Linked DNA regions of Drosophila melanogaster. The protein of the gene in region 3 interacts with the protein of the main gene of each other region in a pairwise test. Each region holds a gene or a part of one and is shown on either strand. Other genes may lie near its edges. The genes, in order: Syx8, CG18508, Spase25 and CG11367.

Region 1 (3,186 bases), on a different chromosome or scaffold from region 3:
AACTGCGCCGGCGGCGTCGGAGCCTCTGTCAAGGCTGTGAATGCCAGCTACTCGGACGCTGGTCTGTTCGGTTTTGTGGTCTCCGCCGACTCCAAGGACATTGGCAAGACCGTGGAGTTCCTGGTGCGCGGCCTGAAGTCGGCTTCGGTGTCTGATAAGGATGTGGCCAGAGGCAAGGCTCTTCTGAAGGCGCGCATCATCTCGCGCTACTCGTCGGACGGTGGTCTAATTAAGGAGATCGGTCGCCAGGCGGCGCTCACCCGGAACGTGCTGGAGGCGGACGCCCTGCTTGGCGCAATCGATGGCATCTCGCAGTCGCAGGTCCAGGAGGCGGCCAAGAAGGTGGGCAGCTCCAAGCTGGCCGTCGGCGCCATCGGGCACCTGGCGAACGTGCCCTACGCCTCCGATTTGGCTTAAGTATATAAACACCTGTACATCTGTTAACCGTAATGTAACGACTAAATAAACCTGATCAAGGGGATCGATCCGCGAACGTAAATACTTATAAATCCTACTTTAATTGGTGTATACATAAATAATCAAACTTTGGGTTAACAGATAGACATTCCACGCAGGTCATAGTATAAAGTAGTATAACAACTGGAATGGATCGTGGGAGCTAGACGAAGACCACGACAATGATGGCGACGAACAAGGCTATGATGACGAGCCAGTAGCCCCAGGTACTGTCCCGCCGGTTAACCTGTCCAATGCTCTGTGTTTCCCGCTGCACACCCGTTTCCACACGGTCCATGGCATTGGCCAAGTTGTCAAGGATATCTACAAGGAGGTAGGGATTAGCATTGGTAGTGCAGGGACTGGGGAATACCCACTGTTCTGGTCCTCCACCTCGTTGCCCAGCTGTGTGGCCAGTTGGCGCTGTCTGGACAATGTGGCTGATAGAACCTCGAGTCCTTCGTTCTGCTGCGCCAGCATCTCGGTCTTTTTCTGCTTCAGAGCCTCCACATCCAAGGCGGTATTCCGCGAGGAATTGCTGTGACCTGGGCCGAGATCCTGATCCTGCCAAGCAGAACCGGATGCGGCCGGGACATTGGAGCGGCTACTGTTTGCGAACTTCTCGCGGATCTCGCGCAGCTGCGAAGTAAGTCTATCCCAGTCGATGCGCCGCTGTTGCAGCTCCTCCTCCGGGCTCGTCTCCCAGGTGATGGCGTTGTCCAGCACCACCTTGAGGTGCTTCATGTCCTTGGCCAGCTGCTCTATTCCCGTCTGAATGCTGCTTGTCAGTTGGACGAACTGGCTCGTCCTCGGATTGAGCTGCTGCCGCTGGTTGAGGTATACCAGCAGCTGATGCCGCAGTCGCTCGCAGCCCTCGTACTCGATGTCCCAGGAATCGTGATCCACCAGCGCCATTTCTCTGCTTTTGCTATGAGTAATTATCAAAAGCAGAAAACTACGCCTCCAGCAATCCAAGTAACAAAAACAAAAACAATAGCCGAGCAACAGCTGATGGCTGGTAGCAAAATAAGTAAGCGCGAGTACGGTCACATTGCCAGTAAGAAGGGATTCGGAAATAATCTTCAATGTTTGAACTGATTTAGATATTATACTTATGTAGCTGTAGATAAGCTGGAAAAATGCACCGCGATTAATCCCCAATCCTTTATCAATTCACCTCGCAGGTGCGTTGCTAGTGTGAACTATTTACTAAATAATTTAAGCTGGTCACTCGAAAATCGTCACTATGATGTGAAGTATGATTATTCGGCCCGAATTCCTGAAACTACTCACAAAAATTAAGAAATGCTTTCCAAATTGCTTCCAATTCTGATTCTGCAAGGTGGCCGAAGAACGTATTCCTTGTGCTCGAGAGATTACACCATCCCCACAAGTAACCACACCCTAACTGGTCAAATTTTAAAGGTTCCAAACCTAAATTCGCAGGAAAGATGTTTTGGTACGCACATTGTTGTCCGGCATAAGAGAGGTCGGTTCTACACCGACATTGGCGAGCTCCGGGCTGTATTGGTATACTCCATCAGGGACGGTGTGATGACCATCAACAGCACCAACGTCCCGGAGGAACTGGGCGGACATGGCATTGGGAAGCTACTGGCCAAGTCGGCACTGGACTACGCACTGTTGAATGGGCACTTCATTATTATAAGGTGTCGGTTTGTCCAGCACTACATCGACAAGTATGAGCCGCAATACGCCAAGTACATATTAAATTAGGGAACCGAAAACAAAACTTCAAAATTGTCGACACAATCAAACTGAACACAAATAAATCCCCCCACTATGCACATAGACACCATACATATAAACGTATATTTGCGTTCAGATTTGTTGAATTCCTTCGGTTTTTGAAAAATTACATGAAAATAATTTGAATTGGCTTATTTTTAAATTATTTCAAAATTTCTAAACCGAAAGGTAACAGATTATATTTAATGACGAAATTACGGTTTCTTATATAAGCTATTTTGTTATGCTTCTAAAAACAAATGTTTTATTACCTCTTTAAAATATGTAAACTAGTTTTCACAATATATTTTAAAAAATTGTTAATTTCCATATATACCACCTTGCATTGTGTGACCACCCTGAAATTAGCAAAGGGCGTTGCCAGACTCCGGCCACCCACGCACATACGATAGTTGGGACCGGCCCGGCGCGGTGGACAAAGTCACGGTATCGATATGGTGACACGATTCACCCACACATGCATGCATTGGGCTACGATGGCTGTGACACAAGGTGTGAAGAAATCACTGGGTTACAATGAGCGCTATTTATAAATATTTTGGAAGTATGCTGCAGGATTTCATAAAAGTAGTATGCAATTGGTATGCTTGATTCATATTGTTTAAAATTTGCTGTGCTACGTCAATTTTGTACTTGAAAAATATGGAGTCGTGACATGCCGCCAAAGCGGTGACTTGTCACGGTGAAATAATCGCGACTAGTAGCAGGTACGCAACTATCGCCCATCGCTAGCTCACACGTACACACAATTTATTTAGTCGTGATTTCTATTTTATTTGTTTCAAATTACAACCAAGAAGGAAACAAATCGCGACCAAAATCCGCTGGCCACAATGCCGAGTGCCTGTACAAGCGTGCGCGAGCATTCCCACTAATCGGAAGCGAGCGCATCCGCCGTTTTGAGCGTTTTCCGCGCGGGAGTGGGAAATCGAAAAGGCAAGGCAAGCCATCGGTCCGCTG
Region 2 (5,035 bases), 8.3 Mb from region 3:
AATATGTTGTCGCCGTCGTCGCAGCACAATCAGCAGGCCTTCTACCAGTACCTAACGCCTTCGAGCCAACATTCCGGCGGCCATACGCCGCAGCATTTGGTCCAAACGTTGGATAGCTATCCGACGCCCTCGCCGGAGTCACCTGGCCACTGGTCCTCCTCGTCGCCGCGATCGAATTCCGATTGGAGCGAGGGCGTTCAGTCGCCGGCGGCAAATAATCTTTACATATCCGGTGGCCATCAGGCTAACAAGGGTTCCGAGGCCATCTACATTTGACCGTGATCTGGATGATTTGGTATGTTGAATATCGCGCAAGGATAATTGGATGGCTTGCCAAGGATAACAGCAAAAGGGGACTCTTAAAGAGTCCGCGGCTAAGTTCGATCTAAAATATGCTATATATTGTAATTCTCTAATCTCTACGGATTATGTATTTTTTCCAACGACTCTTTTTTTTTTTTTTTGAGTGTGTCTATAAGTTTTAGATGTTAGTGCGAAATACGCAATTCTAGCGGAAGAAGCGTCATAAATTGTAGTAACTTAAATTTTATTTAATGCTTGTTGTACAGTGCGCGCCGATCGCATATATATATATATATATAGATATTGATATAGATATATGTATATCTACTCATAGATATACCAGTTAAGAGCTCGTCTTGTGGCGCATTTTATTTTATTGTCGTAACGTCATCGTAGCTTCCAGTAAAAAAAAAAACAAAAAACAAAAGAATCAACATAAAAAGATGAGCAACTAAACTTAGCGCAAATTCTGATTGGATCGATTAAACGTTTGTGGGACAATTTGTAGTTGTAAGTGACCATTATATCACTAGGCCATAAGACTACGCTAAGTTTTTTTTATCGAATTCTACATTATTAATTATGGCCCCACATGCTATATATAAATACATAAATTTCGTAGTTCTGTAGGTTTTGAAACTGAAGTGCTTATATAAACAAAATTGTTAGACCGTACACCGCATCGAACCTTTTTTTTTACACCAAGTTTTTTTTTTTTATTATTATTATTATTATTATGACTATTATGTATTATTACATATTGACTAAGCTAAACTGTAAAAAGATTCTCATAACTGTTTGATTTAAGTTGACACATACAAAATACAAAAGGATTTGCAAAAAAAATTACACAAAAATCACCAATGGAAACGTATAAGTCTAATTGAAAGAAAGAAAGAAAAGAAGAAAAAAAAGGAAAAAACCACGAAAAAGACAGTAACCAGCCAAGTTTACTATATATATAAGGACACTCGACGATCTACGATCTAAGTTGATGAAAAGATATTTTCAAAAAATATGCAACAGAAAGAAAAAAAACGCACACACTTAGAGAAAACTGCAAAATACGAATTTTCTCGTTCGATTTGCATTAATTTTAATTTGAACGGTATTGCTTTCTTTCGTCTATATTTTGTGTGTAAGTTTTTAATGTGTAAATTGTAAAATTATTTGTTTTCCTAACTTAAACAGCCAGACAGCAAAACGAAACTGCAAACTTTTTGACATAAATAATAAATATTAAATAATTATTTTAAAAGCCGTGTGTTTATTTCATTAATTATATACATATACAACATATAAAGGCGAATTTTTCAGCTCTGCGTTGTTGCAGCTGGAACAAAGTTTAAATACCATATTTCATATTGGAACTGCGTGGAGTTAACCTTTAACCTTTAACTCTTGACACACACACACACAAACCCGCAGGAAAAGAGCAGTTTTTTCGCGTGTCAAAGTGTACATTTAATTGCAAGTTAATTATACTTTAGACGTTCTTGCCGCTCTTCAAGGGCCACGCCCCCTCCCCCTCCTTTACCAAACGATCGCCGCCCACCACGTTGGATTTGTGTCCTTGTGTTGTGTGCGTTGTGTTTTCCGCTCTTATGTCAAAACATAACAAAAAAAAAAAAATGTACTATGTGTTAAATTACAATATTTGGAACATTTCGACTAGATCTCCTTCTTGGACTCGTCCACTTCCGTTTCCGCTGCCATTGCTGTTGCATTCAATGGCGGATTTTCAGATTCCTCGGCATCGTCATCACTGACGTTCTCCGTCTTCTTGCCGCCCGGAACGAAGGGGCAAACGCCGCCCTTGCACTCGAATGGGAAGTCGGGTCCCTTTTTGATCACATTGCCATCGTCGTCCTTCTTCTCCCAGGGATTCCAGTAGCGCAACAGGATCGGCTGCACAAATTTGTGCCAAATGTACAGAAGCAGTGGAATGATAATACAGGGCACGCAAACCATTGTTCGGGCTTTAAAAATGGTTAGTTATTGGCGTTGCAAGTGATTACAACAATTGCGGAACGTACCTATTTAATGTTAGCTTACTGGCTCCGGAAAAAAAGTATTTCTCGCTTTGATTTCCTTAATTCAACTATTTATTTATTGTCAAAAATGTCAGTGTAGCCAGTTCACTTGTGTTTGGTATTGAGCCTAAAAACGCCACGCATATACTGTTATCTTAAAAAAAAAAAATACGTACTCTCTAGCAAAGAACGCAACCGGTTGGACTAATATAGTCCGGACTCGAACCAAACCGTTTGAAATCTATTAACCCTTATGTGCACACCTTAGCTTTTTTTTTGCTTTTTTTTTTAGATTTTTTAACACCATGCGCATTTACAATACAGTTGAAATTTTGTCATATCATATATTTATTTCATTTGCACAGTGCTTAACCCATCAATGGGCAACGGTAGGGAACGCCAGAGCGACAACAGTACTCCCTGCCCGCCTGCAGATTGGTATTAACCCATTGATTGTGACAGTTCTTGATGAACAAATAGGCCCGTTCCTTGTGACAATCGTGACCCAGTGCGGAGCATACTATATTTGCGGAATTCGGCAGATGTTGTACGATCTAAAATGGACGAAATGGTGAGTTATAGAGCGCTTCTCCTCATCTTTTCCTCCTCGTTTCCCCAGTACTCACCGTCTCTAGGCATTTGGTTTGACACTGCTTGCGACCGATGGCATTGCAGGGAAACATATGATCCAATTCCTGGTGGATAAGTGGCTTTGTCGGCAAGCCATTTGGGATTTGCGAGGAGAGGAAGACGCCGCATGTGCACGGCACTGGCTGATTATCCTGCACAGGCAGTCCCGCTGTCGGTGGCAAGGGAATGGTGCTAACCAGACTGCTGCTGCTCGATGGGTTTGTGCTCATCAGCGGACTCGCGGTGGTTGGCTCCATCGATCGTGTGGATCCTTCCGACGATCCGATGATGGGTGCCTCGCCAACGGTCGTTTCGGTGGTGCCATTGTTACCAATGGTTTCCGTGCTGGCTTCCAATTCGCTTGCGGGCGTTGTCATAATCACAAACTCAACGGCCGTGGGCCAATCCTCTTCGGCTGTTGTGCTGCTACTTGCAACACCAGTGCTGCTCATGGTGCTGGTTTCCAGTTTGACGGGCTTCGTCTTTATACGCTTGTCCTTGATGATGTTGCTATTGCCATAGAGCGGCTTCTTGTAGACTATCTTGGATGCCTCCAAATGGATGGCTAGCAGAAGTGTCAGCAGCAGCAGGGAATTTTTAAAGGCGCCTGATATATGAAATATATACGATATGAAATGTGTTCTTTAGCTAATATTACTTTCAAAGCTTACCCATCTTGGTATCTACGGAAACACTGAATACTTCTGCCTTTGCGCCATCCATTTTATATAAGCCATTTTCTTACTTGGCTTGCAGTTTTTCAAGATTTCGGTCTTCCATTTTAGTCGGCCCCCAACGAAGTTCAAGTTGTGAGAACCGGCAAAATTGTGTCAGGGTTAAGTCTGATTAAGCAGAATTTTCACACAAAGCGAGTGGAATTCATTCATTTGGAGGAAAGTGAGAAGAAAGAAAAAGAATTACTTCCGAAAATTATGCGTAATCAATAAACCCAAAAGTTGTGTCTTGAGCTGCACAAAGTTTACCTTACCGTTCTAAACTACTTTCCAAAATCTTTTTAAATATCCCGCCAAACTGCAATGAAACTGTTATGATTATAATAACATAATGGATAACATAAATAAACGGCCGATTAAACAGCAATTATTATCCAAATTATACAAGTTATAATATGGTAATATTAACAAACATTTCAACATAAGCAAAGCTTTGGTTTTTAATCTAATTATAGATTTAATTTAATTTTCATTTTTTGGTTTGTTTTTCGTTAAGTTAGTATTTTTTGCGCTGTTTATGGAACTTAACAGAAATACCAATCAATATTGGGCGGCCAACATTTGAAATATAAATACAGATTATCGATATGTATCTTGAACGAAGTTTTAAATGTTTGTTATTTGTTAAACTCAACAATCCTATAGATTTATGCCATAAAAATGTCAAAATTATCGTTGCTTCAAATGATTTAAGTACAAAATTCGAGTTTCGATAAACGGTTAACAGTGCCGTACTCACCACGGTGCGCCCAACAGCACGCACACACAGCCGGCTGTGGTGGGTTCGCTGGACAGGCAGTGTGGTGAATATACTAGTTGCTGGAGCTTGCCGCAAAAAAAAAAAAAAAGAAAACAAAACAGATCGAAAAACACAGCAAACAACAAAATTATACGCCATTAATTACCCGATAAACTTACCGATGGCCGATAAGCAACGGCTAAGTGATCCGTAACACCCAGCGATAAGATCCAGATAAGATTGGAATTAAATTTTGGGTTTGCCATCCGCATCGAAATCGCCGCAATCGGAATTTACTTGTACACCAGCCAACTCGCCGTTCAAGACGTCCAAGTTTTTTTTAATCCAGAAATCCCATACACTGCCAAAATGCCCGAATATGTGCCGGCACGGGGCTTCAAGGAGATGGAAAATCTGATCAAGCTGTACGAGAACCAGCGCAGCCCCATCTACATCTACTTCTACGGCGAGAAAGACAAGGACGGACGCAGCTGGTGTCCGGACTGCGTGGCGGGTAGGTGACGAATTCTCCTCGCCCAGCGGGGCGTTACTAGTCCAGTTGGGCACTCTACATTCTGCTTATCACGCTTCTCATT
Region 3 (5,670 bases):
AGCTCGGACACCAGTGATACCAGCAAAGAGGAGAAAATGATTCCAAGCTCTAAGAGGAATTTCTTTTTGACGAAGGACATTATTCCACCCGGAGAGGGAAAGAAATCTCATATCGGGGCCTCCTTGCCGGAGCCAGTGAATCGTAATTCCAATAATAAGAGTGTCCTGGATTTGCAAGGCCAGCGTAATCAAGGTAGCAAAGATGAGAAAATGATTCCAAGCTCGAAAAGGAATTTCACTTTGACGAAGGACATTATTCCACCCGGAGAGGAAAAGAAATCTCATATCGGGGCCTCCTTGCCGGAGCCAGTGAATCGTAACTCCAATAATAAGAGCGTCCTGGAGGAAGTGGATGTGGACAATTTGCTAAGCCAGCGTAATCAAGGCAACAGATTCGGTGCCCAGCGCTTAGTTGTCAATAGCAACAAAGATGAATTAATAATTCTAGGCTCGGACAGCAGTGATACCAGCGGTGATGCCAATCTCTGCAAAGATGAGATAAAGATTCCAAGCTCAAAAAGAAAGTTAACATTGATGAATGACATGGTCTCTCCATCAAAACGTGCCCACACCGAGGCTGTCGGTCCTACCACGCCGAAGCCATGGGCTCCTGTTCTGGCAGATAAAAAGGATAATGACTATCCTTATGGAGGAAAGGAATGGGCTCGTAAGTTTTTAGAGAAAAAGAAAACCAAAGCAGAGGTGGCTAACCCTACCCTAGCCGAAGTGTCGCCACAGGAAGATGAGAGCAAAGTGGTGAAGGAGCTGCTGGAGACGCAGGAGCAGCTGGACATGGTAGAGGAGATGGAAAGGAAGGAAATGGAAAAGGAGAAAATTGATGAATGGCGAAAGACATCAAAGCAAGTCCTTGAGAAAAATAAGAAAGAGGAAAAGCTAAACTTGCAAAAGCCGAAGATGGCCAAGGGGAAAGTGCAAAAAAAGAAGTCGAAGGACCGGCAATGCGGGAAGACACTAAAGATTGCTAAGGGAAAATTGGAGGCTCTAAAGACGGCCAAGGATACAATGGCAGCAAAGGTGTTAGAAAAGCAGATGATTATGAAAAAGAAAATGGCCCAGAAGATGTCAGAAATTGAGGCTTTGGAAAGACATAAGAAATATGTAGAAATTAAAGAGAAGATGGTAATGGGAAATGGGAAAAGGAACCGTAGTGCCCCATACAGATATCTGAAAAAATAAAAAGATGATGATGACAAAGGAAGCCGGAGCGCCGCAGGAAGAAGGTCAAAAACACTCGGATTTCTGGGTACACTTGGATTGGGACATCTCCACATTGTGAATAAATATAATAACAAATAGAATAATCTTTTAAAAACACATGAGTTAGTCGTACATATAGACTTTACATTACGTACATTACTCTCTTGTAGCCAAAATCTTTAGTATGTCACAAATATGAGCTTTTGGAATATAAAAACATTGATATATATATATAAACGTTTTGACATCGACAACTCCCAATTTTGATGTTTAACTTCTGGGAAGGCAGCCAGGTTAAATATGGAATTAATATCAATGGCCTTATCAGCGCAATATGGGTTTCCCCATCGCCGCCAGTTCCAGTTTGGGCACCCTCTCCTCTTCCTCTGCCGCCACCGGAATCCCCGCCCTCTTAACTTTTAGATTTTTGCAGCTGAACCCATGAAATTATAATAAAATAGTCCACAAATCATTGGTTAAGTTTCTATCAGATTCAGACAATTTATGTTAAGCTGTAAATCAAAGAATTCATTTTATATTATAGTTTTTCCGCTTATTACAAAAGACAAACAGTCGGCTTACCACAAAAGTGTACAATTTAATGAGACAAAAGTGGGGAATTTGGTTTAATTAGAAGAAAGGCTGCTAGCGTTCTTCTTGTCGGCAGCTAAGGCGTTGAACAGACGGTTGACCTCGTTGGCCACCAGGTTGTCCAGGACGATGCCATTCTGATCGATGAAGGCGGCGCACGACTTGTTGCTGCTCTGCTCGCGCCGCTTGCCATTTTTCGTGTCGCGAACACTGAGGGTCAGCAGGTACTTGTCGTCGTACTTGCGCATATCGGAGCTGGCCTCCCACAGGCGCTCCCGCTCCTTGTCCTTCTGCAGGGCCACCGCAAAGGTGCCCTTCTCGCGGAAACTGGAGTGCAGGGTCAGAATGCCGAGGAGTGCAAAGTAGGCCAAAACACTGAAGAGGAGCACTGGACGGGATTCCGGGAAGGGGTGGGTGAAGTCCCAAGCATGGGCCATTATAGCCACGGAAACGGCGAGGGCGCAGAGGGCCAAACGGGTGTTGACCAGGCCGAATTGCTCCTTCAGCTGGGGACGATCGCCAAGGAGGCAGGTTTTCACTGCATCATCGAGGGCGTGCTTCACTGCGGATCCATCCCACTTGTTGACCTTCACCAGCTGGCAGGGCACATGAAACAGGATGGAGTTAGTTTATGCACATATTCACTTAGTTTACATTTACATTCTACAATGACGTGGAACACATCTTAATGGACCAAATGCCAAGCCGGCAACCGGTTTACTCACCTCCTCGCCTTGCTGTGACTTTTCATCCTTCTTGCCCATCTTCTATCTGCTCTCTATTGTGTTTTGATGCCCTTGATTTCCAAGAGAAGTTTGCGAAATGCTCAGAAAAACTCTTTTTTCTTTTTTCAGGAGTTTTCTTCGTTTTTGTGTGACAACGCGACAACAAAATTGTCAATCGTTATCGCTGCCAATCGATAACGGACTAGTTGACCGTGCTGCCAGATAGGGGAAGCTTAAAATACTGAAATACTAGAAACTGCAAGAATTGAAATTTCCCGCGTAATTCAAATAATTTTGAGCATAAAGCATTTAATCAAGTGACTAAAAGTTACTATATATAAATAAATAAAAAATGGCTCGGCCCAAGTTTTACACAAATCGAAGCTGAGTTTATCAAAAAAAAAGTGTGTGTTTTACAAAAAGTGTCTATAAATACGGAGTACGGAATCAATTTACATGGACTTCATTTGCGCCATCAGGTCTTCCAGACTGGTTTCGTCCGCGGTAGCTGCAGATACAGTTTCCTCTGACGTTTCGCTGGACTTCTCAGGAGCCTCGTAGGCGAGCCTCAGCCCTTCACCCATCACTGGGGTTTCGGCGGGCGTTGTATTACTTTCTGGCGCATCCTCGGCGACCAGTTCGATGCCCCATTCGTTGGTGGCATGCAGCGGCTCTTCGCTGACTGCCTTCTCTTCGATCAGCACAGGTTTGGGCCTGGCTTGGAACTCTTTTTGCCGAACTAAACAGTTTCTGTCATCGCACTGCGGATTCGGTTTGAGCGTCATCTTGGGAAAGAAGTCGCTAAGGGCATTGTAGCCCAGATAGTCAGAGACCTCGCCGAAATTCAGCAGATACTTTAATGCGTTCTGGACAAGGAAGCCAGCCGTAATGCCCATAGTTGTGGGCAATGAAGCGGCGCACACGCCCTCTCTCTTCAGCGTCTTCTCGTCGATGTTCTCGGCCACCACCAAGGGTGGTGCACAAGCGAAACAGGCGGTATCGCCAGGACGGATAAACTGAATGTGCCCCGAGACGGCATTTTCCGAAACTCCCGACTCAAACCAGTTGAGATTGCGTTCATTGCACGCTGCATTGATTGCCATTCGTGCCTCAAAATTGTCCACACAGCTGAGCACCAGATCCACCGGCTGGCCAGCTATCCGTCCGCCCTGCGATATTGTGTCCAGGAAGCGATCAAAGTTCTCCACCGTTGTAATATTGTAGTTGTGCGTCTCAATCTCCACGTCCGGATTGATAAAGCTCAGGGTAGCGGCGGCGGCCGCAACTTTGGAGAGGCCCGCCTGATCGGGCGTAAAGAACAGTCTGTTCATGTTGGCCAGCTCCACTTTGTCGTAGTCGAAGAGTATCAGTTTGCCAATGCCGCAGCTGCAGGAAATCAATTGATTAATACATAGCCTTTAATTAAAGACAACATATTTGGAGTGCTAGCTGTGGTGCACAATGACTGTTGCCCTTCTCTTCTTGTTGTGCACGCACCGTGTAAGCATGTCGGCGGTGACGCTTCCCACGCCGCCCACGCCCACAATGGCCACCGCCTTGTAGCGAATGCGCTCGTAGTCCTTGACGATGTTCATCCGCTGCAGGGCCATCAGGCGGCTGTACGGATTGGAGTCCACCACCTCGGCGGACATGCGATCGATGCGATCGCGTGCCAGGCGGCTGTTGCTAGCGACGCCGCCACTGGATTTCGGCTCCGTCTCCAGCTCCGTCTTCAGATCGGCGATGATCGCCTGCAGTTCGTCGATGGCGTGCGACATTCTGGCTTTGGGGTGGCTCCAGTTTCTGGCTCGTGTGTTTGGCTATGGACGCCAGCAATTGTTAATTGTTAACTTTCGCTTTTAAGCTGGTTGTCGCCGTGTCACTTTTGACCAGTGCTGCCAGATGGCCAAATTAGTTTGGTACTTGCGTTAGATGGGATGGGGCAACGCTGCATGTTAGTGATGGCCGAGGGTCGATAGTTATATACCAAAAATATACCAATTTACATTGCCAGCTGGTACAGTGTTGGTTAATGCTACGAATGGCGCGCATATTTGAATTTTAAGACGCATAAAATAGAAGACGAGTAATAACAGCAACCAAATGGCTGTCAACTCCATTTGCTGTATGAAAACATTTAAATTTCCCACTAAAATCCATTTGTATAATTACACAAAAGATTTATTGTCAAAATCATTACACACAAATAGGTATTATAATTATTAAATAACCAAAAAAAAAAAAGAGGAGTAGAACAATTAAAGGAAGATGACGATAGTTGTGGTTGCTTTTTGTGTTAAATGCGTCAAAAAAATAATCATTATACTATTCAATAAATCGAGTGTGGGAGCACGTTTATTATTATTTAATATTATCAATATTACTGTATAAACCGGTGACTATCACTTGCCAACAAGTGGAGTTATATGTATGGATAAGTGTCCGTTCTGTGTAGCTTATTGTTTGCGGTGTACGGTGTATGGTGTGCTGCCCGCCTGTTCCGCCTGCCCCACCCGCTCCACCTGGTCCACCTGGTTCGCCTAGCTGATGTTCGTCGCGGCCACCGGGGTTCAACTGGTCCGCGGCTGGAGGCGCACGCGGAATCCCTCCTCACGCTTTAGGATGATGTCCGCCTGCAGTTTGAAGTCCGATTCGGTCAGGTCCGAGTAGACACGGTAGTTCCGCAAAATGGTCGACAGTAGGATCTTCAGCTTGAGCATCGCATACTTGCGCCCTAAAAAAATAATTATAATAAATGAAACAAAACATTATTCATATAGACGATCCGAATATTCACATAATTTGCTTCAGTGTTATATCTGCAACTCACCCACACAGCTGCGTGGTCCCGCAGAGAACGGCACAAAGGCGTAGTAGTGGCGATTGGCCTGGCGCTCCGGCAGGAAGTTGTCCGGATCGAAGACGTTGGGATTGGCGTAGACCTTCGGATTGCGATGGAGCAGGACGGTGGCCACCGTCACCGTGGCGCCCCTGGGAATCACGTAGTTGCCCGAGTTCAGCTTGAGATCCTCCTGCAGCTCGCGGGCGATCAATGGAACGGGTGGGTACATGCGCAGCGTCTCCATCAGACACCGCTCCAGATACTTCATCTCCAGTGTGTCCTGCAATCGGAATG
Region 4 (9,561 bases), on a different chromosome or scaffold from region 3:
GAGATTATTGGCGACGTGCGGGGAAAAGGCCTGATGATCGGCGTCGAGCTGGTGGGCAATCGTGAAAAGCGTACCCCTCTGGCTACGCCCCACGTCCTGGACATCTGGGAGAAGTGCAAGGACCAAGGAGTGCTCCTTGGACGCGGCGGTCTTCATGGAAACGTAAGTGAGCCTTCTTGAGGGATAAGTTCATCCTCATTTGGGCTCGTTTGTCTTCGTACTGCACGTCCGACTAACAAAAATTCGTGTTCGTTGAAGAGTCTCCACCGAGAACGACTCTTTGATCATCTTCTCCTGTTTCTACGTGTGCATCATTTCCCTTCCATTTCCACAGGTTCTGCGCATTAAGCCTCCCATGTGCATCACGCTGGCTGATGCCAAGTTCGCCGTGGATGTGCTGGCCCTGGCCATCACGGAGACTCTACCCGAGAATAACTAATGAAGATTGGAGAAGACGAGTACACATACACGGGAGAGCGTTTGTAGGATGGTCTCAGCTGCATTTATTAACTATCTAAGCTATCTAAGCAGATCTCTAAGTAGTTACTCCTAACAAAGACTTATGGACCTCTAAATCGTCAACTGTTCAATATTTAAAAGAATTGGTTTTTATACATTAAATTGTTGAAGATCCCACAAGACTAGTATATGTTACTGCGTTTCCCAAATGGGCGGGGCAAATCACCCCAGAAAATCCACAGTCTACTGCTAGCCAGATTACCTTGCATCTTTGCCATTACCATCTGTGGGAGTGAAGTAGTTCCATATTGATCCCTCAAACGCTCTTGTCAAACTTACACATAACTCACTCTTGGATTCTCTAAAACCTCGATTGCACACGTGTACACTTTTATGATTCAAGTTGATATTTGCACATGAAAAAAAAAAATAATCCTCAGCACTTCGATTCCAAATTGTAATTTACTTGGCAACCCTAAGCTCGGAATATGGCTATAATCTACGATCAGCATACGCACCATTCTAAATGTACTCACCCACTTATCTTAAAAATCGGTATAACCATTTATTTATATAGAAATCAGAAGACATTCCCAAGCTCTATCTTTTTGAAAATGCAAATTCTAGCATCTTGGACGGTTCGAAAAGGATAAATTATTGGTAGCAGGATATACATATAAAATTTTGACACAACATAAGCATTAAATACAAAATGACTGAAAGTATGCACTACATATATAGCACGTATTAAACGTGTAAAAATTGGGTACCAATGTAGATTTTCAAAAGTTTAAGCGCACGAACATTATTTGACAATTACCTTACAAGTTATTCCTAAAGCACAATCTTTTAGAACAACAATTGTTGTTTCAGTTTTAAATTTAGTACCTGGCCTTGACCAGTAAAAAGATCCCATGAAATGTAAAATTTCCAGATTACATTTTTTGATGCTACACTGTAGGACGGAGGGTCATTAATATAATAATAATTTTCGCATTATTTGAAGTTTCCTCTTCTCTTCAGGTGCTGAGCATGAGACCGCCACTGTGTCTTTGTGCCGAAGACGTGGAATTTGCCCTGGAGACACTGGAGGAAGCGTTTAAATTTCATATGAGCAAGAGCCCTCGCAGTTGGAGAAACAGCACAATGATGATGTAGAAAAGTTGTACTTTAGAGCTCATTTATTTGCTTATTCGCTTACAAACTAATAATTGAACAACATTATAGAGCAGCATTATGACCAACAATCGAGTCTTCGAGCTAGCGGTCTTTGAGCGAGGCTTTGACTTATTTATAAATGTACATCTCAGGAATTCTTAGAAGTAATGTGTGATGTGAAGCATGACACACCCTCATACAGTTTTAGGGAACGAGTGTGATTTGAATCCGTATCTGCTAAGGCTAGCTTAATGTTTGGTTTCAATGGCATTGCCTTGAGCATAAATAAATAAAACAACTCGAAAACCGCCTTAGTTTGAACTAGGTAATGCAAAAACGCAGTCTTCTGTTAAAGTCCAGGAGATTCTCTTTGGCTGGGGGTCCTGTAGGACTCCGTTCCCCAAGTGGCTCCTGTTAAACTTGTACGTCGGGATGCTTGCCCTCGTTATTGTAATCAGCGCTCAGCAACGTCTCAGACAGCTCCTTTCTGGCCTTCTGCAATACCCAGAACATCAAGGCCACGCCGCAAATTACCTTAAAGACACAAAAGACACATTGTGGATTAAATAACTTAAGATAAAACAAGATAATTAAACAAAGAGCTTGTGGACTTATTAAACAGCAATAATGAAGCAATTCAAATGTACAAACTCAAAAACTATTAGGCATATGATCTAAGAAGAGGTCAATTGCGATCCAAAGCGAACATACCTCAAACAGGAAGCTGATATACCCCGTCAGTTTGGTATCGTTATCACTGAGCACTTCATGCATGGACCTTAGCGTGGAACCCAAGTAAACATTGATGGTTTGGGCTGGCAGCAAACCAATCAGCGTGGCCACATGGTAGTCTCTTGTGTTGATGGAACTGATCTGTGAAAATAATAGTGTGATATAGAAACTAAATGGTTTAAGCGTGCCATGATTTAGCACCTAATTTTTAAGGAAAACTGGTTTTTGTTCAGTTTAACTGCATAGAAACTTGACGAATATGCACATATATTAGGTATACAACGTAACCGTCTCTGTATTATTCGTATAATTAGCTATTTAAATATTGCAGTATAAATAATTATTCATATAGATTCACAAAGCTTTGCAAAATTTTATTTACATGTCAGTGTGACGAATATTTGGTCCATTTTCAATTTGTTCCATTTAATTTTACGTTCGAATTCTTAAAGTTAATAAATAAAATTCTTGAAGTGACAAATTGGCAAACAATAAGAGAATATCTAGATATTTCGAACTCGCCCTTTTCTGAACAACAAGTTCAAGAATAACAATAGATCTGACAAAATCTAGTCACTTACTCCGAATATCACATTCTGCACTCCGAAGGGAATGGGGGTAAGTCGGGTAAAGAGAACGACTCGAAATGCCTTTGGGCCAGAAATGACGCGAAGAATGGCTCGTCCCGTATCATTCTTGATCAGCCTGCAAATAGATGCAATCGAACGGGTCTCATCACTTAATTTATTAAGTATACATATGTACATATATACATAATTACACCCAACTACTGACTCTAATTGAGTTTATCCAACAATCAGGAAATGATTATTGGGGCTATCAGCCAGTTCCACCGTTCGTCGATGAAACAGTTTACGCTCCCTCATAAAAATTGGTAGGCATTGATTTCATGCTATCACACAAATAACCTTTAATTAGGTGTGCCTATTTGGTAAATGTGATGTTAAATAAATGTGTTATTTTTAAAGAAAATTCATAAGCCTCTGTAATTGATTAATTATGTCCGCTGGGTATTGGAACCTAGTTTAGTAATTGTCGGAAATTAAAAGCTTGCTGCTATCAGGCGCGACAAATGTCTGATAAGGAGATCAAAACCGACTGAGCGTTAAAGGGGGATTTACCCAATGAGGCGGGTTTTAATTGCAAACGGGTTTAATGACAAATGAGCGTTTAGTACCTATATACAAAACATACAACACATTTATATGTACCGGCGATGTGGATACGCGATATCGATTTTGCGGAATAACTGCCCTTATCAGATATTCCTTGGGCAAATGTATTTGCTCAGTCGCCGTCACCGTGGCTTTGCAATTGTCGTGTGTCACAAGATCCACTTTGATCACCGTCATTCCGCAATCTATGCGATCTGGTTCGGCTTGCAGGTAGACAGACTTCTATGTCCTGGGGCTCGCTGGGGCAGGCGGCGGTAAGTAGATCCACGGAGTAATCATCCCGGACGTGCAGGGTGTCGCCAAGCTGACAAAGAATGCCCCGGAACTCGGGGTAGGCCTGGCAGCAGTCATCGGGAATAGAGATTGACAGCCGCAGCGACATCACGTTTCCGGGAGCGAAGGGATAGTCAAGGAGTCTGCGACTGGTGTCTCGCTTTCCCAGACCCACGTGCGAGACCACGACTGGGGAGCAGTTGTACTTGCGAGCCAACTCCACTGTCTCGGCTGCACTGCTGACACCCTTAGGCAACACGCGGAGCTCCCTTAGGTGCCGAGCCAGAAGGATTAAATAGGCGGCGTGCAGTTCCAGAGGTGTGCGGACGGCACCCTCACATCCTGCGTACTGTATCAACGAGCACAGATCCCGACGCATGTCCAACAGCGCACCATAAATCATTTTCTGGGGCGGCGTGAATCGCCCCGAGCTGGGCCAGCATCTGGCCAGTCCCCCCTCGTAGCCTCCGTACTGACATCCAGCGTCCATCTGCCACAGCCCATTGCCATCCAATCCGCACGAAGTTTTTGTCACGTCGGGACGAGCGTGGCGCAAACGGCACTTGTAGTCAAATGAAGCGGCCAGCTCCTGAGGAATCTGATGATGCTGTGCGATTACCTCCGCCATGGAGTCCGCAGCGGTGGCGTTAGCCCGACGCAGGGCTCTCAGCTCCCGCGAGGTCTTGACGGTGCGTGTGTACTGGAGGATGTATCGGGGATTGCCCATAGGAATCTTGGCTTCATTAGCCACCTCTTGCACTATACAACTGACAGGACTCGATGGGTCGTAGAAGTGCCATAGCTCGGGCGAGTGATCCCTTAACAGCCAGAGTAAACTTTTCTTAAGCATTGCGAGGGGCAGAACGTCGTCCACGTAGTGCATATGGCTAAAAATGGTGGACAGCTGGGAGTCCACATCCTGGGAAAGAAAGAGCAACGCGCCAGTATTTCGCTTTCGGCTGCGGGTGAGAACCAATGCTGCCCCTGGTCTCAAGCAGTCGCAAAGATAGAGGAAGTCAGGCCTCTGCCGAAAGGGGTAACTCCGAGCTGAGTCAGCTCCGGCCACCACAAGAACGTGCGAAAATATGCGGTTTTTCCTGTGCGGCTCTTTGAATGCGTCCTTCGCGTGCATATAAGAATTAAGGTCGTCCAGGGACATTTTTCGGTGCAGATCAATTTCATCCGGCAGGAGAACTCCGTCGGGCCGTGGATCGCTGCGCAGGTACTCGGACATTGTGGCGAACTGTCCGCCAGGGGCATCGCAGGAGAACTTCTCGATCAGGTCGGGCACTGAGAGCGGGCGGATCCTCTTGGTAAGCTCGGAGGGCCAGACCGTTGGCAGCACCAGAAGCACATCACTCCTATCCGGTGGGGCCACTACGGAACAACCGCGACGCACCTCTTGCCAGGCATAATACTTAAAATTTCGAAGAAACCGCAGCATTGGAGAATACAAAAAGCACACAGAGCAATGGGTAATATAAGGGCTAGATACAAGAAAGCGAGACTTATGGAAGATAGGGTTCCCTGATCGCAATAAATTTAAATATGTACTACTCGTAAAATGGGCATATGGACTCTGTAGCACTTGTCAATACAAAGATCAGTTTTCCGCTTAAAAGTATTAAAAATATTAACGTTTTGTGCGTGACCACTGTTTCTTGATTATTGGAGAGATGAATTTATTATTTAAAAACTGAAATATTTTTTAAGAAGTGTAGAACAGGTTACTGCGTTTGTGATCGCGGCAATGACTTAAAACCAAATTGCGCGGATTAGTTTGTTAAATCACAACAGACAAACGGACAAATGGAATCGGTTGGAGATCTTTATCAAGGATACATAGACACAATTAATTATTTTCAACGGAGTGTACCTACAAGAGCAAAGCGCATGACTTTAGAAGATAGTACACCTAATTTTCAACAGTTGGGGATTTGTATGCGTAGTATTTAACACTACTCAACGAACAGATAAATAAACTCTGTATTTTCAACGGAGCTTCGATTTTTAGCTTTTTAAATTTTACGCTTTATGCCGCTTATGACGTGTAAAAGTGCACAAATTAGTTTCTGGAATATCGAAGCAGTTTTAAACTAAAGACGCATAAATATATGATTTTAAGAAGTCGATGAAGTGTCACCAGACGCGCAACTCACCTTTGGACGGGAATGCGGTGCCGGCAGCTGCGAATGGTGGCATGGGCCACGGCTATGCCGATATTGGCGCCCAGGATCACGGTGACCCAACCGCGCAGGCAGCCGAACAGGTAACCGGCGGTGATGAGCAGAACGAAGTAGCCCACCACCACGGGGAAGCTGACAAGAGCGAAGAGCCCCATGTAGACGGCAAATGTTATCCAGGCGTTCTGCATTTCGATCCAAAAGAGCAATTGGCGAGCATAGTCCCGCGTCGCCCATCCGATGAAGACGAGGGCGCCTAGAATGGTGGCGGGCACTAAGCAGCCCAGGTACCAGTTGCGGGTGAGAAAGCTGTGGGCTCGTCCCCAACACGAGTTGCGCTTCCGGTTGTGTAGCACAGAGGTGGTGGCGGAGGAGCGGGTAGCTCTCCGACTGGCTAGAAACGGGTCACATTCGCTGTCCTCCGACGTGTCCGGTGTGCGCTGGGCGGCGAAGAGAGCTTCGGAGTTGCCGGCAGCCCCCACAATGCTGTCTGGTGGATCCACCTCCACGGCGTTGGAACAGCTGGCCTGGATCAGCTGAGGGAAGGCGGGTGCGGTGGAGGCGGGCACTGGCTTCTGCATGATGCAGTTGGTATCATTGTTGTTCGAATAGCCGTACGTGGTTTTGTTTTTATAGTTGTTGTTATTGTTGCATGACATGACCAGGATTTTCTTTTGGCCACAGCTCTGCCTTTCTCCGTTTTCTTTTCCACTTGTCGCTGTGAAATTTCACTTTTATGCACCCACATTCGCGCAAATACAGAGTTCTGAGTTTACGGTCGCATGTGTGTGCTTTGTGTCACATATGGCAAGGCAACCGAGTCCCAGAAACCGTTGTTGTTATTGTCTTAATTCAATTAAAATTACGAATTGTATTTATTGTTTATATATGTGCCACAGCCGCTCAACAATCGACGTACGACTGCCCACTCGACGTTGACGTTCCGACTGGAACTTCGAGTTCCCGCAGCGAGAGTGAAAGAGAATGTGAGAGGACAGAGAGCGTGCAGTGCTGCGATTTTAGCATTTTTCTTTAGCCATACTATACGGACTGCTCCAGTTTCTTCTTCTTTAAAAATTAATTAATAATGTGATTTATATTATATTTATAAATTATTTCCTTTGTAGTTTTACCTAAAATGTATAATGATTGCTGTGTGAAATACATGCCTTTTCTCTCATCTTTTTCACTTAACAATTAGTTGCTATAAATTGTTTGTAGCCGTCGATGGTGTAGCATTGTATATCGATTAATTAGAAAAACTGAAAAAATGAGCTTGGTCCCACTAACCGAACAGCTGTATAGACGATATCAAATTAAGTAACAACAAATATAAATCATATACTGGAAAATATGTTGTGCCGGCGATCATTGTTGGGCGTAACGACAAAATGCCTAAGACTTTCGTCCACGCAGCAACACAGATCGGGTCAGCCGGAATGTGACCAAGCCATCGGCCTCTTGCCCGCCTACTCGGATGCAGATCGTTTGAAGATCTTGAAGACGATTAATGAAAGCAGCATGAATCAGATAGCCAAGTAGGTAGCCACTCCTGCACTTTGCCTTGCACAAATACTGATTATCCCGCCCAGCTACGACATAACCAAGGCAAGGGCAACCAAGCTGCAAAACTGGAAGAACCGTCACGGACCGCTGCAGGAACTCAGCGACATCCTGTATGTGGAGGGATTCGGACTGAAGGTGACCACCAAGTTCTTTAAGAGTCTGCTTGCGCCGCCGAGCAGTGGGAGCGCACAAGTAGGGGAAAATAGACCAAAGACTGCACGAGTCGCGCCCTTTATAACACCGGCCATGGACGAGGGACAGCGTTCACGTATTGTATCTGCTGTAGGGGTGCGCATCGGAGTGACCAGTGTAAGCTGGGCGCGATTAAAGATCGGAAGCAACGAAGCTCCCTGTCTGCTCACGCACTGGCAGCACCATGAGCTGAACGACAAGAAGCTGCATTTGTCAGAACTTTCCCGCCGATGCCTCTATGTATCTCACCAGATACCCGTGGCCGATTGCTACGTCATGGAGAGTCCACAAATGGCCCAGGCCAGCAGCAACCCAGGGAGCATCGATCAACAGAACGTGAACATCCAGAAGGCCCAGGTTTCCGCAATCATGAGCTTCTCCTTGATGGCCCGATCAGATGGCGACGAGAACAAGACGAACAACGTCTACTACATGCGACGTTTTCTCTCAGCCCGACTATTTAATCACATGGTGGGTACTGAGCGCGTGTCGTCCGAGGATACGATATTGGCCATGATGCGAACCCATTACAACGTGGAACATCAGATCCCCGAAACAGAGCCCCCGTTGAAGCTGCACAAACAGATCGACTTTCCCGCTGACCTACGCCTCGAATTCTCACAACAAGAGCGCTACCAGCGCGAGCTTCTAGGCCAGGCACTTCTCCTCAGCTTAGCCTTTACTCGTCTCGTGCTTCAGCAAGATCCGCAAAGCATTGCATCTGTATCTCGCAACTCTAAAAACTCCTCTCCAAGTCGAGCCACTTAAAAAGCTACAAGTGTAAGAATATGAACTCGACTCTTTTTGGCCTTTGCACTTTGTATTATAATGACCCGTTGAACAATTTTATGCACAATATTTAACAGGGGTTTTAATAGGAGCAGTTTCTAATGGCACAACTGCATTTCCATGGAATACCATAAACATAGATTATTTTGAGCTTGGCCCCACTTAGCTAATTAGAATTTGTCGCCATCAAAAATATCATGTCTTTCTTTCATTACTGCCCACATATTAGGTCTTAAAAATATTTATTTAGCAGAACTAAAATAAATAAATACTTGATGCTGGCCCTGTCCGTTTGAACGAATTTATTTTTAAATACAAGTAATAGTATTTGTACAGTTTAATGCGATAAGAAAATTATCTATAAGGAATCATTGTTTCTTAGTCCAATTGATAGACCAAAGTGGCTTATTTTTTAAGTTTCCCATCAGCGCCGTTTACGGAGAAGTCGTTGTCTGAAACCTTCCGAATTAAACGCGAGTGCGTCGGTAAGTTCCTAGCGTTCCATTCCCGCTGAGCACTAGCGGCGATACCGTGATGCTTACTAGAATTACGCATGCCGAGGCTGGGGAATTCAGAAACTTCGTTTAAATTTGCGGCAAAGGAAGTGTGGTCTATGGGCTTGTAGGAGCTTGATGCGACGGAAAGTCGACTGCTAGAAAGCGAACAAGCTTCGGGTTGGCTTTCCTTCTTGACCCCAGATCCGGGAAGCGAATAAAAAGAGTCGAAGGAGGACTCGTGGTCGAGTGAGGAGGCGTACGAGCTTATGATAAGGTAGTTGGGTTTTGTTTGGGCAGGTATGTGCTTTCCGGGTTGGACGGTTATGGCCAGGTCTCCGCACATAAAATCAGTGAAGGTATACGCCCATCTAGTCACCATACTCTGGGTACAGTACTTGGTTCGATCATTATCCTCGTGGTACTGCAAAAGTAATCAGGAAGGAAGTCAACTAGGGGTTATCAGAATTGGGAACAGAATCTTACCTGACACGCAATCCCTGCGGTAAACTCGAAAAA

What was found.
Region 1: the proteins of Spase25 (region 3) and Syx8 interact in a two-hybrid assay, tested with the Drosophila melanogaster proteins (one large-scale study listed by BioGRID).
Region 2: the proteins of Spase25 (region 3) and CG18508 interact in a two-hybrid assay, tested with the Drosophila melanogaster proteins (one large-scale study listed by BioGRID).
Region 4: the proteins of Spase25 (region 3) and CG11367 interact in a two-hybrid assay, tested with the Drosophila melanogaster proteins (one large-scale study listed by BioGRID).

What each region holds. Positions count from the first base shown.
Region 1 is NT_037436.4:16,585,608-16,588,793, forward strand, and holds Syx8 (syntaxin 8), read right to left. Parts: upstream 1,451-3,186; 5' UTR 1,372-1,450; coding exon 834-1,371; intron 781-833; coding exon 620-780; 3' UTR 501-619; downstream 1-500. Other genes in the region: UQCR-C2 (Ubiquinol-cytochrome c reductase core protein 2), read left to right, coding at 1-417; CG32163 (uncharacterized protein), read left to right, coding at 1,762-2,193.
Region 2 is NC_004354.4:3,170,706-3,175,740, forward strand, and holds CG18508 (uncharacterized protein), read right to left. Parts: upstream 2,436-5,035; 5' UTR 2,340-2,435; intron 2,283-2,339; 5' UTR 2,275-2,282; coding exon 1,975-2,274; 3' UTR 1,563-1,974; downstream 1-1,562. Other genes in the region: N (notch), read left to right, coding at 1-276; Fcp3C (follicle cell protein 3C), read right to left, coding at 2,705-2,890, 2,963-3,573, 3,638-3,689; CG3939 (uncharacterized protein), read left to right, coding at 4,809-4,953.
Region 3 is NC_004354.4:11,482,296-11,487,965, reverse strand, and holds Spase25 (spase 25-subunit), read right to left. Parts: upstream 2,717-5,670; 5' UTR 2,574-2,716; coding exon 2,535-2,573; intron 2,406-2,534; coding exon 1,845-2,405; 3' UTR 1,400-1,844; downstream 1-1,399. Other genes in the region: CG33235 (uncharacterized protein), read left to right, coding at 1-1,197; Uba5 (Ubiquitin-like activating enzyme 5), read right to left, coding at 2,987-3,920, 4,032-4,312; Cyp4g15 (cytochrome P450 4g15), read right to left, coding at 5,105-5,268, 5,365-5,656. UniProt on the Drosophila melanogaster protein: Component of the signal peptidase complex (SPC) which catalyzes the cleavage of N-terminal signal sequences from nascent proteins as they are translocated into the lumen of the endoplasmic reticulum.
Region 4 is NT_037436.4:22,725,510-22,735,070, reverse strand, and holds CG11367 (uncharacterized protein), read right to left. Parts: upstream 6,961-9,561; 5' UTR 6,661-6,960; coding exon 5,978-6,660; intron 5,306-5,977; exon of another isoform or gene 5,263-5,305; coding exon of another isoform or gene 3,658-5,262; exon of another isoform or gene 3,471-3,657; intron 3,059-3,470; exon of another isoform or gene 3,055-3,058; coding exon 2,931-3,054; exon of another isoform or gene 2,491-2,930; coding exon 2,329-2,490; exon of another isoform or gene 2,152-2,328; coding exon 2,032-2,151; 3' UTR 1,625-2,031; downstream 1-1,624. Other genes in the region: CG11241 (uncharacterized protein), read left to right, coding at 1-162, 1,483-1,617; CG32454 (uncharacterized protein), read right to left, coding at 3,658-5,262; CG14450 (uncharacterized protein), read left to right, coding at 7,355-7,539, 7,594-8,527; mael (maelstrom), read right to left, coding at 8,954-9,466, 9,529-9,561.